Arabidopsis thaliana: one gene and its partners. The protein of the gene in region 4 interacts with the protein of the main gene of each other region in a pairwise test. Each region holds a gene or a part of one and is shown on either strand. Other genes may lie near its edges. The genes, in order: CRF12, RPT6A, AT3G61950 and AT4G26290.

Evidence for each region.
Region 1: the proteins of AT4G26290 (region 4) and CRF12 interact in a two-hybrid assay, tested with the Arabidopsis thaliana proteins (one large-scale study listed by BioGRID).
Region 2: the proteins of AT4G26290 (region 4) and RPT6A interact in a two-hybrid assay, tested with the Arabidopsis thaliana proteins (one large-scale study listed by BioGRID).
Region 3: the proteins of AT4G26290 (region 4) and AT3G61950 interact in a two-hybrid assay, tested with the Arabidopsis thaliana proteins (one large-scale study listed by BioGRID).

What each region holds. Positions count from the first base shown.
Region 1 is NC_003070.9:8,944,109-8,948,597, forward strand, and holds CRF12 (AP2 domain-containing transcription factor family protein), read right to left. Parts: upstream 2,521-4,489; 5' UTR 2,492-2,520; intron 2,215-2,491; 5' UTR 1,936-2,214; intron 1,838-1,935; 5' UTR 1,657-1,837; coding exon 793-1,656; 3' UTR 501-792; downstream 1-500. Other genes in the region: AT1G25460 (NAD(P)-binding Rossmann-fold superfamily protein), read left to right, coding at 1-136; AT1G25480 (aluminum activated malate transporter family protein), read left to right, coding at 4,359-4,489.
Region 2 is NC_003076.8:6,749,883-6,755,793, reverse strand, and holds RPT6A (regulatory particle triple-A ATPase 6A), read right to left. Parts: upstream 3,997-5,911; 5' UTR 3,834-3,996; exon of another isoform or gene 3,691-3,833; 5' UTR 3,651-3,690; coding exon 3,449-3,650; exon of another isoform or gene 3,051-3,448; coding exon of another isoform or gene 3,023-3,050; intron 2,941-3,022; coding exon 2,843-2,940; intron 2,766-2,842; coding exon 2,541-2,765; intron 2,426-2,540; coding exon 2,363-2,425; intron 2,279-2,362; coding exon 2,115-2,278; intron 1,775-2,114; coding exon 1,618-1,774; intron 1,507-1,617; coding exon 1,408-1,506; intron 1,211-1,407; coding exon 1,100-1,210; intron 1,017-1,099; coding exon 876-1,016; 3' UTR 501-875; downstream 1-500. Other genes in the region: GONST4 (golgi nucleotide sugar transporter 4), read left to right, coding at 4,862-5,887. UniProt on the Arabidopsis thaliana protein: The 26S proteasome is involved in the ATP-dependent degradation of ubiquitinated proteins. The regulatory (or ATPase) complex confers ATP dependency and substrate specificity to the 26S complex.
Region 3 is NC_003074.8:22,937,629-22,941,995, reverse strand, and holds AT3G61950 (basic helix-loop-helix (bHLH) DNA-binding superfamily protein), read right to left. Parts: upstream 2,609-4,367; 5' UTR 2,336-2,608; coding exon 2,303-2,335; intron 2,192-2,302; exon of another isoform or gene 1,886-2,191; coding exon 1,292-1,885; coding exon of another isoform or gene 1,268-1,291; exon of another isoform or gene 1,220-1,267; coding exon 851-1,219; coding exon of another isoform or gene 800-850; exon of another isoform or gene 745-799; coding exon 664-744; 3' UTR 514-663; downstream 1-513. Other genes in the region: AT3G61960 (Protein kinase superfamily protein), read left to right, coding at 1-30; MTPA1 (Cation efflux family protein), read right to left, coding at 3,547-4,367.
Region 4 is NC_003075.7:13,307,035-13,309,672, forward strand, and holds AT4G26290 (uncharacterized protein), read right to left. Parts: upstream 789-2,638; coding exon 561-788; downstream 1-560. Other genes in the region: AT4G26288 (uncharacterized protein), read left to right, coding at 589-806, 934-1,183; emb1027 (Arginyl-tRNA synthetase, class Ic), read right to left, coding at 1,366-1,476, 1,590-1,688, 1,783-1,851, 2,237-2,326, 2,408-2,477.

The DNA of each region.
Region 1 (4,489 bases), on a different chromosome or scaffold from region 4:
CAGTGAAGAAGGGAAAGATATGCCTCATAGCTTAGACACAACAAAAATACATGAACTTGGCTTTGCCTCCTTCAAGTCATTAACAGAGATGTTTGATGACTGTATCAAGTGTTTTCAAGACAAGGGTTTGCTCTGAAACACAAACTAATCAAGCTTATATTTAAACATCAACGAGATCTCTTAATCTAAAAGGATTCCACACTATGTAAAGTGCCCATCAATCTTGGACTTAATAATTACACCATCTCGCTCACGTCTTGTAGAGTTTCTTTGGACTGATCGTATCACGTGCTTAACACACACAAATGTCCGTACCAAGAAAGGTACAGGAACACGTGTCAACTCTCTTTAGTACTCTTTACTTTTAAGGTAGTGGAGAATGCCACTTGAGAGAGTCGTCTACATTTCATTTTTGGTCGTTCACAAGTCACAATCACCATTAGCCACCTTCAAAAACATAAATGTGATCCAACTGTTATGTACTATTAATATCAACCCATGACTTATTAAATTCTCGGTTTAGATTTTCTGTCCTGATTAGACAAACATTAAAAGAGAAAGGTACAACACCAAGAGACAAAAGAGATACGAAGAACAATGCATAAGGAAATAGATTAAAACATAAAGATGAAAGAAAGTAAAACCAACATTTATGAAAAAATGTTGTGCAAATCACTCCTTTGGACTGTTCTAAAAGCACATGAAAAATCCATAGAGATCAGACCGCAAGGATCATACTTTCTAGCTTTCTTCATCATGTTCCTGTGAAACAGAAACCGAAGCTAACAACTCTTAAACCAAACCGAGAGGCGGTGTTGTCAGATGATCTGTATAGGCAAATTTGAAATCATCAAGCTGGAATTCCATTTCAGTGAAATCACAGTCAGGTAGCTCACTTGGAAGACTGTTTTCAAACCTGCTGAAGTTGATATCATTTTCGAGCAATGAGTAATCATCCAGCAGAATGTTAGAGTCAGTAAGGAAACAATCAAAGTCTAGCTCTGCACCATTTGCATTAGAAACCATAGAATCCTCTTCTGCTGCTAAGAATCTCAGATCAGGTATTTTCACATCCGAAAAGTCGAAAGTAGTGAACACTTCTTTGGTGGTTGAATCACCAGACGCAGCAACATCTTTGTTCAGAGACGTCTTTTCTTTAGACAAATCATCAGCACTTACACAAGAAACAGAAGCAGAAGTAGGGGAACGCAAGCACTGGCTAGTCACTGTTACAACCGATGAGGAAACAGCAGAACCTGAAGAAGCCAGTGCATCATACTCAACCTTCTTGTCAACATAAGCCTTCTCAGCTTCTGCAGGAGTTTCATAAGTACCCAACCATTTCTTAGTTTTAGTGAATGGGTTCAAAATCTCAGCAGCAAATTTGCCTGATGGCCTCGGCCTAACTCCCACAGGATACTTAAACTGCCTAGTAGATTTCCTTCTAGGGGTTTTGACAGCATTGCTACGATCCTGAGAACTCTCGGAGACCTGAGGGAGGAAAGTAATCTCATGAACAAAACGCTTTACCTTTCGAGGTTTAGGTAACCATTCATCGCTAGAGGAAGAGGAATCATCAGTAGCATCAGGATCAGTGAAAACAATACGAACTGTTCTCAACAAAGAGTCTCTCTCAGGTTTCACAAAGGACTTCATATCTTCTCAAACACACCAAGAACACACCAAAAAAACCCCACTCAAAAATCTCTGATCAAAAACTGCTAAATCGGATGAGGTTTTTTTCAGGAAAAAGATTTCTCTGTTTCAGCGAACTATGAAAAAGGGTATTTTTTGCTTTTCGTGAAAACCCCCAAATACTTCAACACCAGAACAAGTCCTGCACAAAATCACAATCCAGAACCAATACTTAAAACCTTTAGATTCTCCTTCACCAACAAAAGAAAAAGATAAAGAAGAAGAGAGAAAAGGCCAAACCTTTTAAGTCTTAAGCCCATGGAAATGGAAGGAACCTCAAGAATAAGCCTCTGTTCGGAGCAGAAGCGAAGAGCGTTAAGAACAGCCGTCAGACTCAGACCAAAGAACAAGACAGACGAGGAAGAAGAAGAAGACGATTGAATTGCAAAGGAGATTAGAAACAGAGACGAAATCGCAGCCGATTCAGACACAGCCGACATAAATCCGCGTTACAAACGCCGTTGTTGTTCCGATTGCTTCTCAAATACCCAAAAATCCCGACTTTTAACTGTTCCTGTTCTTCAAAAGAGATAAAAACCCACAAGAGATAAGTGAGACACACACACACAGCTACAACCTAAAACCCTTAGAAGAAAGAAGTGTAAAAAAGGGTTCTTGAATTAAACTCCGATTCAAACAAAACGCAAATCTTTAGAAAGAGAAGAACATAAATTACAGTCGCAGGCTCACAGTAAGCAAATATAAGAGAGACGGGTTACTATTCAAGTAATGATTTCGTGGAGAAATGCAGAGAGTTTGTGATGAGAAAAAAAGAAAGAAGAAATCTTTCACCTACCTTGTGCTCTTTTTCTGAAAATTCTATCTGTTTCTCTCACAGGATAAAGCTTTAACCTTTATATGCTGTTAGTATTATTCACTTACCTTGATTTTCTCACTTGTTACGTTAGACCCGATTTTTACTACTATTTTACTGCTGGTCTAAAGGAACCATTCCTTTTTTTTTGCATGAACCATTCAAAGGAAAAAGTAACAAATCTTGGAATATCTAATCTAATTTTCGATGATATTATCTTGACTAATTGTTTTCCAAATTGTTTTAAACTGCTCAAAACATAGTATTTTTAGTTTACTTATAAATTTACATATTGACGTAAATGTGGTTAGGAAATGTTATTGTTGTGGTATTTTTCTTTTTTCTTTTGTGTTTGTTTAGCCAATTCAAATATGTAGCATTCGTGAAAATACTGATATAAAAATATTTAAATACTCATTTATATGTGTTAAAGCGTTTACAAAATTATCATCAATGGCCGGCCATGAATCATAACTAGCCAATATAGAATTAGGTTTTTGGTTTGAAATGTAAATTTACAAAAGAAAATCTGTCATAAAAGTTCATCTCGTACTTTATCATAAGAAAGTATTCACATTTGTTGGTCTTTTTTATAAGGTTTAGTAAATTTTTGGGTTTCTAGAATTTGTTTTTTAGTATGAATGTTTTCTAGAGATTTTTAGTTTATAAGAAAAGAAAAGAACAAAGCAAAAGCAGAGAGCAAAGCCTAGTTAAAGACTCTTATTAGCATCTCTCCGGGATATAGACTAGAACTAGATTTTCTTTTCCTTCCAGTTAAGTTGTTTTGCGTTCTGAAATCTAAAATTTGATCATTCTTTCTGTGGTATACGTACACATATACATGTTACTAAGAAAATTATCAGTATGTTATCTTTTCTTTAATTTTATCTATGTGGTCTCTTGAACTTTAGTACAAAATGGTCTCTATATTAGGAGACGTATATGATAAGGGACATACATATTAATGGCGCATGACCAAACCATACTTTAATATCATGCATCTATCATGTCCCACTAATCGCCTAAGCTATCCATTTGGGAGCGTGTGATTCAATCTTTCTCATAAGAAGAACAATTTTACTGGTATTTTATGCAAGTGTAGTCCTCCACACATAAGATGCTTCTGTTGTATGAAGGCAAAGAGCGGATGCAATAACTTTTTCAAAATTCGGTAAAAACCTGAACTGTGAATCTGTGATTGCAATTTTTTTACAATGGTGTTGTTGTTCAAATGGTGACAGCAAAACATGAATTAATAGACTGAAACGATTTTTTTTCATCTTACCACAAAACAATTATACACTATTATACATCACATAATAAATGTTATAATTATAAAAAAAACATGAGTGATACTATTTTTTAAACTCTACTCTTCAATTGATAGTTATTTTTGCTTGATTTTTTTTTAGCAAAACAATGATTTAATAAAATAAAAAAATTGTGATATGCCTAATATTGGTAAGAAAGAAAAAATATCGTACTTTTCAATGTCCTTAAAAATACAAATTTTTATGATTTGACTACTTCCAAATTTCTTTAAATGAGTTCAAATTCAAATATTTAAAATTTCGTAAGAAACAATATACATATAGAACAAGAAACATCTTTTATGGACGGCCAAATCATGTTGTTTTTTGCTCTACAAATGAAAATCATATACTATTACTAATTAAATTATATGTTGTCTTATAGCTTCGGAATCTTTCTAAACATGATTCACCCCTTTTCATTACAGGACCCCACTATAATTAAGGTTTCTTCTAAAGTGGGATCCATCTGATCGAACCATCTCATCTCACTCTCAGTTTATGAAATCGTGATCTTTTGGAAGAAGAAATCAACGCAAATGGCTGACCAAACTAGAGAAGCCTTTCTCTCTCGAAAAGCTTGCTCAGATTTCGGATTCAATGATTCAAACATCATCGATGACCGTCGTTCCAAGTTCCGGTGTTTCCGATTTTGCTCCGACGGGATCAC
Region 2 (5,911 bases), on a different chromosome or scaffold from region 4:
AGAGATTCCTACTTCCAGAACTTACTCAGAGGCTTGTTCTTCTTTGTGTGTGTTTTTCGTTACTTTCGCCACCGCCATCTCAGTATTCTTATGTCACGTGTACTCTCCTCTCACGCATATCAAATATTTTCGTTTCTGTGCACAAAGTTTAAACGTAATAACTGGAAACATAAGAAAGGTGCAAAATGTCCAGAGAACAAGATATAAGCTATTGTATTTTTCTTTTCCATTGCTTATTGTGTATTATATAATTCATTAATATCATATGTTTTGTATAATTTTGTAACTATGTTATCATTTGTATTAAAGATCTTTTTTTTGCTAAACTTGTATTAAAGATCTTGTATTAAAGATCTTGCTCTTTTTAAGTTTAATTTCATATGATTTTTTATTTGGGAGAAAAATAAAAAATGGAATGACGGAACCAACCCAAAATTAACAAAATTTATAAACCGCTTGGTTTTGTTATTTTATAAGTCTGCAATACAAAAAGTCCAAAACCACAACTTAAGCATACACCAAAACTTTGGTAACCGAGCTAAACCATACCGAATAAACCAAATTCGTGCGTAAAATTTGTAATTGAAATAAATTATCATAACATTTACATTATAGGCTTTTTCTCTCTAATGGAATATGACAGTTTCGGACAGAAGAACTCTTAACATGTGAAGGTTCTGCTTGTTTTGGTCTTATAAGCTCAGGTTCTTGAGTTTTGGGAATTTCCTTCCATTGACCTCAAATCGCATACTAGATAAACTCGTGTCTAGATAGTAAAAACTTTGTTCTAAAATGTTTTCATGAGACAACCGAAAAAAGGTTTCAGAATCAAACAACAAACAGTAAAGTAAAGAAAGTCTTTCCATGAGAGATTCCTACTTCCACAGCTTACGCAGAGACATGTTCTTCTCCGTGTCTTTCTTCATTACCTTGGCCACCGCCATCTCAAAGTCTTCTTGTGTCACGTGTACTCTCCTCTCACGCAGAGCAAACATTCCCGCCTCCGTGCACACAGCCTGACCGTATTAACCAAAAACATAAGAGAGAGGCAAAATGTAGAGAGAACAAGATAGAAGTAGAGAAATAGAAAACACTTTACCTTCAGCTCAGCACCTGAAGCGCCATTCATCTTCTCTGCAATCTTTTTCAGATCGATTCCACGCATCAAATTCATTTTCCTCGAGTGAATCTTCAAGATGTCAAAACGTGACTGCAACACATTTTGGAAACATACATTAGCCAAACCGTCCTGCCTCACTTGAGTAAAATGAGTATGGAGATAAAGAAAAGTTTTTTATGCTGCAAATGATAGTCTAAATACTAAATAAGGTGCCTACTTTGACGAATAATGTATTCATATCACCAAAAACAACAGTCAATATCATTTTCTCAGAGCACAAGTATTACCTCTTCATTAGGATTAGGAAATTCAATTTTCCTATCAATTCTTCCAGGCCTGAGAAGAGCTTGATCCAGAATATCAATACGATTTGTAGCCATCAAAACCTGCAACAGTCATTAAAGAGAATATGACTCTGTCAGCAATTTCAGACTACAATAACACAGACTCATCCTATTCAACTTATGGTTTTTTTTCCTTTACAACTTAATAGGTACCTTGATTTTGTTTGACGCTTCAAAACCGTCAAGTTGATTGAGAAGCTCGAGCATGGTCCGTTGCACCTCACTGTCACCATTTCCACTTCCAGATTCCATACGAGCAGACCCAATACTATCGATTTCATCCATGAAGATGATTGATGGTGCATGCTCCCTGAAAACCATAAACCGGTGTAAGCCAACTGGAAAGAGTATTTTCAACGAATCATCTCACCTATTTGTAATTTGCTCCTTACATGAGACTTGGCACTGTGGCCTAAATGCTAAGCACTATGACAAAGAATACTTTATAGAACGATATTCATTCACAACGGAACCATATTCATTGTAGCAACAAAGAACACTTTCCCCATTTAACTTAACAGCTCATGTCCATTTTATAGCAACTAATGGCGGACATGTTAAAAGATGTTATCTTATCAACAGTTCCATATTTTCCTATCAACCACTATTACCATGCTTGAAATTTAAAATAGGGACTACCATATACTAACCTTGCCATCACAAAAAGTTCTCTGACCATTCTAGAACCTTCTCCAATGTATTTCTGGACAAGCTCGGAACCAGAAACTCTTATGAAAGTACAGTCAGTGTGATGTGCAACAGCCCGAGCCAATAGTGTCTTCCCAGTTCCAGGTGGACCGTATAACAACACACCCTAGAAAGACAGAGAGATGAGATTACGTCTAATCCACTTAGCATCATCACAATATGGAGAAGAAGGTTTAAGATTCAAGTGTACCTTTGGCTGCGCAATTCCAAGAGACTCAAACAATTCAGGATGCTTGATTGGCAGCTCAATGACCTGATAAACCAGAAAAGATATAGATATTATATAAACATTAAAAGGATGAAACAACAGAGGAGATAGCCAATACTGTAGTGACTTTTAGTTTCGGTTTCTCATTCACTAAGCATACCTCCTTTATTTCCTTAATCTGCTGGTCAAGACCACCAATCATGTCATAGGTGGAGTCTGGAACCTTCTCAACTTTCATAAGGTTAACCAAGGGATCTACTTTACTTGGCAGAACCAGGTGGAGAACATAGCTATCATTACGAAGAGCAACTCTCGTTGATGGAGTGATTTTCGTAATGTCTATACTTTTGTCAATATCAACAACATACTTCCCCTCTGGATGAACCTGGAAAATGGGAGTGTAAGCCTTACTGACAACTATGTTCGTAGAAATACAAACATGATAATAAAAAAGATTCATACCTTAACCAAGACCTTGTTCTTTCCCATAACTTTTACCACTTCTCCCACATAGGACCCAGGTTCTTGAAGGAGCTGTAACTCTTCTCTGAGCATTCTCACTGTTCAATTAGAAATAATTTTAGTGTTAACGAGGTTTGAGATTTAGAACTAACTACAAATTATAAAGACTAGTAAGAAAACCTTCATGCATAAATAGGATGGTGATCATGATGACAACAGAAGCTGTTCTATAACTTTAAATGTGTAACTAAAATCATGGTATAGTGGAAAGGACTATATGGGCTCCTTCCAAAAGTATATATTCCTCAATGAAGATAGTGAAGAAATAACTAGGCTTTCCTGAAAAAAGCCACATACTTTGCAAAAGAACCAACAAGAAGACAGAATCTAGAAATCTAAACAAGTTAATGTTGCTAAAATCAAGACTAATCACTTCCAGATCGGAAACACTAAATCACCACAACAATTTTGAAATTTGAAATCACTCAGCTCCAATTGGAACGAAATCGAAAGCCCTAGCACAGAATCTGAGATTACGAAACACAAGGAGATGATAAAAAAGATCCAATTTTGCAGAGAATTAGGGTAAGAGAAGGAAGAAGAGACCTCGAGAATTGAGTTCATTCCTTTGAGCTTCAAGGCGATTGAGGTTATTAGTCTTCTGTCGAAGCTGGCGCTGGAGCTCATGGATGTGCTGGAGATAGTACTGCTTAAGCCCTTCCCCTTGTTTCGCCGCCGCTCCTTTCACGTTACAGGTTTCCTCCATCGCTGTCTCAGGACGCCTCGAATCTACTCCTACGGCCGCCATTTTCTCAGTGATTGAAACAAATTATCGAAGACAGAGATCTCTAGTAAGGAGATGAGAAGAAAAAGGAGAGAGATTAGTTTTCGTCGATCAGAATCTCAGAAACCCTCACGCGAAGCATTATATGATATCACCTAAATTAATAAAAAGGAAATTAACTCAACAATAGAAATATTTTTATTTTACTTTTTGCTTGTCTTAACCTTCTAGTTCGTTTAGAGTCCTTCCTCGAGTCTACGTTTTCTCAGGCTTACTCTAGCTGGTGGCTAATAAGCCGTTGGAACCATCTTAGAGATAAAACGTTCTGCTTGTTAGTAATTTAAGTTTCACCTTATCGAGTAAGAAGAGAGTTGTCGAGGGAGATAGTTGAAACTTTGAAACATTCGGATTAATAACTTCTTCTTTTTCGTTTAAATCTTACTTTAATACACATCATAAACATGTTTTATTACTAGATCAAAGATTTGAATAACATTTTAGTGTAGTTGATGCATGATGTCTCAACAACATGTTTCAACATCAACGACTTTGATTGGTGAATAAAAACAAAGTATTACAATTTGTATAGCTTTTTTTTATACAAAACACAAAAAGATTATCAAAAGTGTTACAAAAAGTTTTACTCTCACTTTTATTGTAAGGTTTTCTCGTACCGTTCTTTTTTACAGCTTTATAATATTCCGAAAAAACGTACACCTAAATTTTTTATACGACTTATTGTAAACAATCAGATCCGTTAATCTAAAATTTTGTACAGCTTTGTGTTGTACAGCCAGATGACAACAATTTTAGATTTATTATGTTTATTTAAGCGTTGGTTCAGCACATATCGTTAATCTAAAAGAGAGTGAATCTCAACAATGACTACATGCAATCTCAATTATTTGCTTAATTAGTGCATTGACTAGTTTATGTCCAAAATACACAATAATTTCTCTACAAACAAACAAAAATTCTCTACATACACACAGACAAAATCAATATGTTTAATATTCTTCCATTAATGGTGAGTTGACCAAAATTAACACCACAATTAAACTCAAAGTGACTAAAAAGATTACTAACAAAATTGTCCCGTACGATAAGACACTGACGAGAGAAGTCGTCGCCTTCCTCTAATTAGTCTCTGAATAATCCGATCCAGATCCCAAATCCTCTCTTCTTCATCTTCACCGATCTGGATCTCCCAAAAACCTCCACCAAAAACCAAAACAATGTCGTCCTCTCGATTCGATTCAAACAAACAATTAACAACAAGCAGTCTCGTAATCGGCTACGCACTCTGCTCAAGCCTCCTCGCCGTAATCAACAAATTAGCAATCACATACTTCAACTACCCAGGTCTCCTCACAGCTCTTCAATACCTAACCTGCACCGTCGCCGTCTATCTTCTCGGCAAATCAGGGTTAATCAATCACGATCCATTCACATGGGACACTGCTAAGAAATTTCTCCCTGCAGCTATCGTCTTCTACCTCGCTATCTTCACAAACACAAACCTCCTCCGTCACGCTAATGTCGATACTTTCATCGTCTTCCGATCTCTAACACCGCTCTTAGTCGCGATCGCTGATACTGTGTTTCGTAGTCAGCCTTTACCTTCGAGACTTACGTTTTTGTCTCTCGTCGTTATCCTCGCTGGAGCTGTTGGGTATGTTGCAACTGACTCGTCTTTTACTCTAACGGCTTATTCATGGGCTTTGGCTTATCTTGTTACCATTACTACTGAAATGGTTTACATTAAGCATATGGTCTCTAATATTAAATTGAACATTTGGGGATTGGTTCTCTACAATAATCTACTGTCTCTGATGATAGCACCGGTGTTCTGGTTTCTTACTGGAGAATTCACCGAGGTTTTCGCGGCGTTGAGTGAGAATAGAGGGAATTTGTTTGAGCCTTATGCGTTTTCTTCTGTGGCTGCGTCGTGTGTGTTTGGTTTCCTTATCAGTTACTTTGGATTTGCTGCTAGGAATGCTATCTCTGCTACTGCTTTTACAGTCACTGGTGTTGTTAACAAGTTCTTGACTGTTGTCATCAATGTTTTGATTTGGGATAAGCATGCCACTCCTGTTGGTTTGGTTTGTCTTCTTTTTACTATCTGTGGAGGTGTTGGTTATCAGCAGAGTGTCAAATTGGATAAACCCATTGAGAAGGTCAGCGAGAAAGATAGCGAGAAGGGAGAGGAAGATGAGGAGTTGACGCAGTTGGTTCCGGGGAAACTAGCTTCTGTTGTATGAGAGAAGTGTCATTGTTTTGCAGCC
Region 3 (4,367 bases), on a different chromosome or scaffold from region 4:
AACTTACAGCATCGTCGGTCTCATCTTTAGCGAAAATAGACCGCGGGCATTGTATATAAGAAACTTTCCTGGCTCTGCTTGGGTCAAGTCTATAACATTTGTGGCTTTTCCTTATATTCTCTTGAAATTTCGAAATGGTTACTCTATATTGTTGATGCTGTGACCAAAAAGTATTTGCCTCCCTCATTGTATAGTGCCAATATCAATAATAGCTTAAAATACCAAAGATGCAAACTTTGTTGGTGCACAAACTCTCCCGTGTGAAGCTCGAGGAGGATCACTCCAAAGGCGAAAGCTCTAAACGTCCCATTTGGAAACGAGAAGTCTGGTACACGACATCCCATTGACAATGATCGTAAAGTCAACACTTAAAATAGGGACAAAAGTCAAACCATGATTGATGAAATAATAAAGACGAATAAGATCAAACTTTTAATAAGATGGGACCCAATCTCACAAAACACCCAAAGCCTGAACAATAATAATCGAACAATCCAATAATATACGAACAAAACAGAATTTAATTCTGTCAGTAGGAAAATGAAAGAACGAAAAACGAAATTTTTTTATTCTCTTAATTCTTAAAAAATTGGTACAAGTAGGAAAAAAAAAAAAGATACCATTTTGTCAGCTGTTAATATTTTTGGAATTATATGTGTTTAATCAAATTGTCGGAATATCGAAAATCCGATGAACAGCCGCCGTAATCTCGTCGGCTGACTCTAAGTCGCACTCATCTTCCATCTGCTCCGACACAATTGAAAAAAAAAACAAGATTTTTTAATTAAAGATTCAATTTTCAATGTTGGGTTTTTGTTGATTGAAGTAAAAAATGGAAAGTAGTGTTTACCTTGAGGTTGAAGGAATAAGAAACAGAGGAATGAGACGAAGTAGTGATATTGAGATGAAGAACAGTGAGTTTAAGCTTTTCAAGTGATATGATTCCTTTGAGAAGTTGTCCTTGTTTCTTCTCACATTGAACTTTAAGGCTGACATGGTTTTGTATCACTGTAGCTTCGATTTTGGGGATACAAGTTTGATCTTCAAGAGTTGTCCACAGGTCGTTCGACGAAATGCCTGAGAGATGATTAAGTGCGTTTTCTACTACCTCACTGTTACTTTGTTGTTGCGTTCTCTTTTGCGATTCGAGAGATTGTATGATTTGCTCGAGGACCTTCACGTAGTTTATTGCTCCTCCTACTATGGAAGCTTGGTCTCCCTGCAGGACAACATTTGATAAGGTTTTGATGATTAAAGGTTGAAACTTTCATGTATGCTTTTGGTTATTTACTCGTTGGATGTAGGAAGGTGGGAGAAGGGCCCGGAGAGAGTTGATATGTTCGTTCATTTGACGTCTTCTGTTTCGTTCAACAGCAATGTGGTTTATTCTTTGATTCTCAATCTCTTCATTGTTTTTACTTGGTTTTGTTTTCCTCCTCTTTCTCTTTTCTCTAGTCATTTCTTGAGGCAGCAAGTGGTTGATTTTGCGCTTTCGTCTTGAATGTGCACTGAGTGGTGATGAGGTAGAAGAAGGGAGTGTCATGTTTGCTTGGCTAAAGGGAATTTCTTGGCTTGACACAGCTTGATTGGCTCCTTCCATGAAGCGGTTGGTCTCAGATTGGACCGGTGAATGAAATTGTGAATCCTCAAGTGAAAGATATCTTTCGAGTTCCCAAGGCTCCTTGAGGGTTTGAAGAGACAGTAGCGTCAGAAAGTTTGGCTCTTTGATTGAAAAAAACGATGAGGGGTCTTCACTTTGCAGCATCTGTAGAAATGGAACTGTATCTTGTAAGCTTTCTTCCTCTTTTTCTTTGAAAGCAAAGCTTTGAGCCTCTGCAAATCCTTGAACCTCGAGGCTTCTCACATCCGGTTTTCGATCGAAGAACTGTAAAAATGACAGAGGAATGAGATTAGCCGGTGAGACGCAAATGATTGAAAGAGAAGTGTAATTTAGTTCTACTGTGGGTTAGTTTGGTTCTTAGTACAGAGATAAGCAAAAAAATAGAAAGGAAAATGGAATGTTTTCAAAGAAAGGGAAGCAAAAATGATTGTAGAATTGTTACTGTTTTCTCTAAAACAAACAACAAAAGCATTAAATGCACAGTATCTGGACTAATTAGGAATTGTTACTGTTTTCTCTAAAACAAACAACAAAAGCATTAAATGCACAGTATCTGGACTAATTAGGAATGAGTAAATGCAAGTCCATGTCTCTGAGTATGGAAAAAAATGATTCAAGGGAAGAGAGAAAGATTGAAGAAAGAGAGTTAAAAGTTTTCTAAATCAAGCAAAAGATACATACACAGGGGTTGATGTGTCCTTGAAACCTTTCCATTTGAGAGCTCTTGTTTGGTATGTAATGTAATGAAAAGAAGATGAGTGAGTAATAATAAATGCTAAGAATCACCAAAGAGGCAGAAGAGGAAACTCATGTACTCTCTTCTGATTCTGAGCTTTTATGGACTTGTAACTGTTAGCTTTATATAGAACAGTGAGTCTTTAGTAAAGCTATTGAGTAGAGTGGAAACAGAGGAGCTGTAAAAAACAGAGAGGTAATAAGATAGATGTATTTGGGTACTGTAAGAGTTGGTGAGGCTGAGCAGAGCAGATGAGAGAGAGATATTATTGGTGGAAGCAGTTTTGTCTTGAAGTGGAGACAGACTTTGTGGGGACAGTTCTAAATTACACAGAAGAAGAAGGTAAAAAAGAGACATGTCATGGGTAAGAGAGCTTCTTCCTTTGGGTTTGTGTCATCTTTCTCATGATGTCTCAATCATCCTTTCTTCACTATTCCCATACCACACCATTCCTTTTCTTCAAGGCTCAAAAAGCTAAAACTTTATACAGATACCATGTTGCATTTGCATGCATCCATCATGTTCTAATGATTCGAACCTTTAATAGATGTAAGGTTTCTAAAGTGTGGGATTTTGTTTATTACTTTGCAATCAAACATATCTTGATTACAATTAAAAGAAAAAGGTTGACTCTAAATGCCTTGGCTGCTACGGCATTAAACAGTGTTTGTCCTATAAAAATGTCCCAACATGTCCACAAGCTCAATCCAAACGGGTAACTTCATATCCGGTCTCACAAAATTTGAGCAAAGAAACAAAACATTCGTGCTTTGCATGGTTATTGGTTAACGAAGACCTTAGAAACCTTATCAACACATCAAAACTCCAAAGAAAGTTGAATCTTTGTTTATCAATTGTGTACTGGATATGGTTGTTAACTGTCACACACGAGCTATGGTTACTTGCTCTTAGGACAAACATGCCCCACTCTTTTTGGTAGGTCTATTATCAAAGATAAACCCTAAAGATTCTGATTTTTCTTTAGTAGTAACTTAACACAAATCCCTAATCTCAAATAAAGTTATGTCCTTTTAATTACCTTTTTCAAGACAAGACAACTTATTCATAAACAAGAAAGACAATGGCATATGTCACAACAAGGTAATGAGAGCATACGAGAAAGCGAAAAAAGATTTAACTTTGATCATGAAAATGACAGAAAACCAGAGAAATGAACCCTTTTGTTGTTTTAACGCTCGATTTGTATCGTAACGTGACTGATACGATACTCTCTCCAGATGTAATCGATCACTTTGTTCAGCACCATTTCATCACCAGCTTCTGGTCTAACCTTGACATGACAAGAAAACAGAGCTTTTCCAACTGTAATTGCCCATATGTGCAGCTCATGAACATCCACAACTTCCTCAATTTCCATCAATCCCTTTTCGAGCTGCCTCGCGTCTATCTCTCTCGGTGTGCTCTCCATTAGAACTTCAAGTATGCTTCGAAGCATCTTAATGGTTGTCCCTAAAACAATAACTGAAAAGAATAACGTGCATATCAAGTCAATTACTTTCCATTTAGGGTTATACCAAATCATACCCCCTCCAATCATTACCCCAATGCTCTGAATTAAATCCCCAAGAACATGAAGATAAGCCCCTTGCACATTAATGTTCCTTATTTCCTTGGATTTCTCCAACAACTGCTCAGCTCTTTCCCCATAACTATGACCATGATCATGACTGTGACCATGATCATGCCCATGTCCGTGATCATGTCCAAGCACAACAATCATTATGATGTTTACAACTAAACCAAAAGCAGCAACAAGAACCATAAAGAAACCATCAACATCATCATTGGTCTCTTGAACGAGTCTAGTTACGGCTTCGTAGACCAAAATCCCAGTGAGTAACCAAATGAGCTGGATTGAGACAAGAGTGCCTAAAATCTCTATCCTGAAGAACCCATAACTCTGTCGCGGATTTGCTTCCCAAGAAGAAGCCCACAAGGAGAGCATAGAGATAGCAAAAGCACCAACATCAGTGAGCAAATGAGCTGCAT
Region 4 (2,638 bases):
GGTTATATCTACTCGAATTTGAATGGAAAAAAAATAAAAATAAAAATAAGATAAAAGAGTCAACCTTATGTCCAATTCAAGATAATTGTTAAAAAAACAATCCAAAATTCGATTTCAGTCGTTCATAATTTATATTCAATTGGGATTTGGGATCAAGATAAAAGAGTCAACCTTATGTTTTTATGAGAGGCTAGAGAAAAAATAGATTATGATTAATAAATTTGATAGAAGAAACAGAGTAAAACGTTATCCACAGGCCACAGCTTGCACGTAAGTAATACCTATACATTATCGTTTATTCGTTATCCTTTTTTCTCTTACTAAACCGTATCTCTTCGCTTATCTACATGTGTAATCCTCTACCTCCCTCTATATATATACAAAACACAACTTTTATCAAAAAAAAAAAAAAAAACTAGAACAGAACACAAACATCTCGACAAGAACTCTCTGTTCTTTCTTATCAAAAAAAAAAAGAACTCTCTGTTCTGTTCTTATTGATCAAGAAACCTTTTCTTGTCCTTTTGGTTAAGACTTCAAAAGAAAGATCAAATCAGAATCTAAACATAATTGACAAAAGAAGAAGAGATGAACATTCGCGATGGTAATCTTATTTCGACTACAAAAGAAGAAGAGGGTGTTATTGGAGTTTCAGGATCCTCTGCAAAAGTTTCATCTTCATCTTCTATCTCTATGTGTTCATCTGATTTAACAGAGGATGCTTCTTCTTCTTCTTCTTCTTCTTCTTCTTCTTCAAATGGGCCTTTCGACGATCTTTCGGACCTCATCTCTCAGCTCCCTATCATGTAATGACACTAAATCTCTGGGTGAAATATTATCTCACAGTCCTTATTCTCTTTGATCGTTCCATCTTGTCTCCATAGACAGTGTTAAGAATTTGTTTTCTTATTGTCTTTGTTTTTTTTCTTACAGTCAGGTCAAGAAAGGAGGACTTTCAAAGTATTATAAAGGCAAATCTCAATCATTCACATCTCTAGCAAATGTCACAAGTCTACAGGATCTTGTGAAGAGAGGATCAAGAACGAAGTCATGCTGCAAAAGGGATTATTTCTATGGACCAAAGGCAACAATCTCCATGAAAGCCACGAGAACATCCTCAAAACATTCAAATTCAAGATTAACCTTTAAACCATTTCATGATTCACCCAAATCAGTTCAATGACATGACAAAACAACCTTCTGGGTTCAGTTTAACATTGTATTCATTTGTATACAAGTTTGCCCCAAGCTAAATGAGAACAGAGAGAATTTAGGGCCAAATAACGCCTTTTACACTAATTGTGCAGAAAAATTGTCAAAACGAATTAAAAACATTTTCCTTTGGGTCGTTTACTTGTGATGTGATCAAATCTTGTAAACCGGAGTGATTCCAAGAAGGTGGAAGCATTTCCGCATGACTATGGCCGTTGCTTCACAAAGTAGGAGACGGCTTGTCTCCTCTGGTGAACCATTGACCTGTAAAAGATCATGTTTTAAGTGAGATCAACATTATAGTGGTTGATTATGCAGCTATGCAGTCTAATATCACAATATCAAATGAGAAATGTAGAGTCTTGTGAATTGCACACCTGACAATTGGAGTAGAATCTGGTAAAGTGTTCAGATAAATTGTAGAGGTACTCGCACAGAACACTCGGTAATAAGTTGGTACAAGCTTCCTCCACCGTCTGCAAATTGTTCACACATGAGTTTCAAGTTCATCTTGTTGCCGAGAAAAAGAAGCCAAATATGAAAGAAGTATCTAAAGAGAGCATGTGTTACCTCAGCAAATCGAAGCAAGTGAAGCCCCAGTGCTCGTTCATCTGCATGATCCAATGCTAATTTTCCTGTCTGCAATGAATAAGATGTTGAAACATAAGAATTACTCTTTATTGTACTGCGTATGGTAGGAACTAATAACAGACTTCGTAGGTGTTCGACGATCCATATCTTATGAAAATGTGAAAGATAGCACAACCAAGAAACTAAAAAGGACAAAAAGGCCCAGGGTGTATACAAAATGAATCTTGAGACTCCAAAAAATTAAATGCTCACTATAGACACTGGCATTAACTTAAAAGTTTAAACACTTCTGAAAATTGTTTAAGCTTTCAATTTCAAACTAAATAGTTTATAACGTCGCATTTCCTTGATAGAGACAATGGGAAAGTTTCAGGGGCAGCCAAGAGGAACAAAGAATAAAATTCAGCGATTCATGTTCATGCAGCTAAAGTACCTTTTTCAGCTCATCTATGTCTTTGCCAGACTTTCTGATGATTGAACAGATCCGAGCATGGGCGTAAAGAAGGTAAACGGCTGTATTTCCCTGCTCATGACATATGATCAATAAGGTTGTGTAGGTGACTGCAAAATGCAAATTTGTAAACTAGGTGGCAAATTTCAGTACCTTGTCATTAAGCATTTGATCAAAGCTGAAAGTATAATTTGTTAATCTGTTGTTCTTCAGGTCAGCATACCTTGAAAGAATATTAAACAAAACCGCACATTAGCTTGTAGCCATGAATATAAACCAACTGTCAAAACATCTGGCAAATCATTCATCATAATTGAGCAGCCTTAATTATAAAACGTCACCGAAAACCGGAAGATACTGAATAGAATTCACTATTATCAGCAG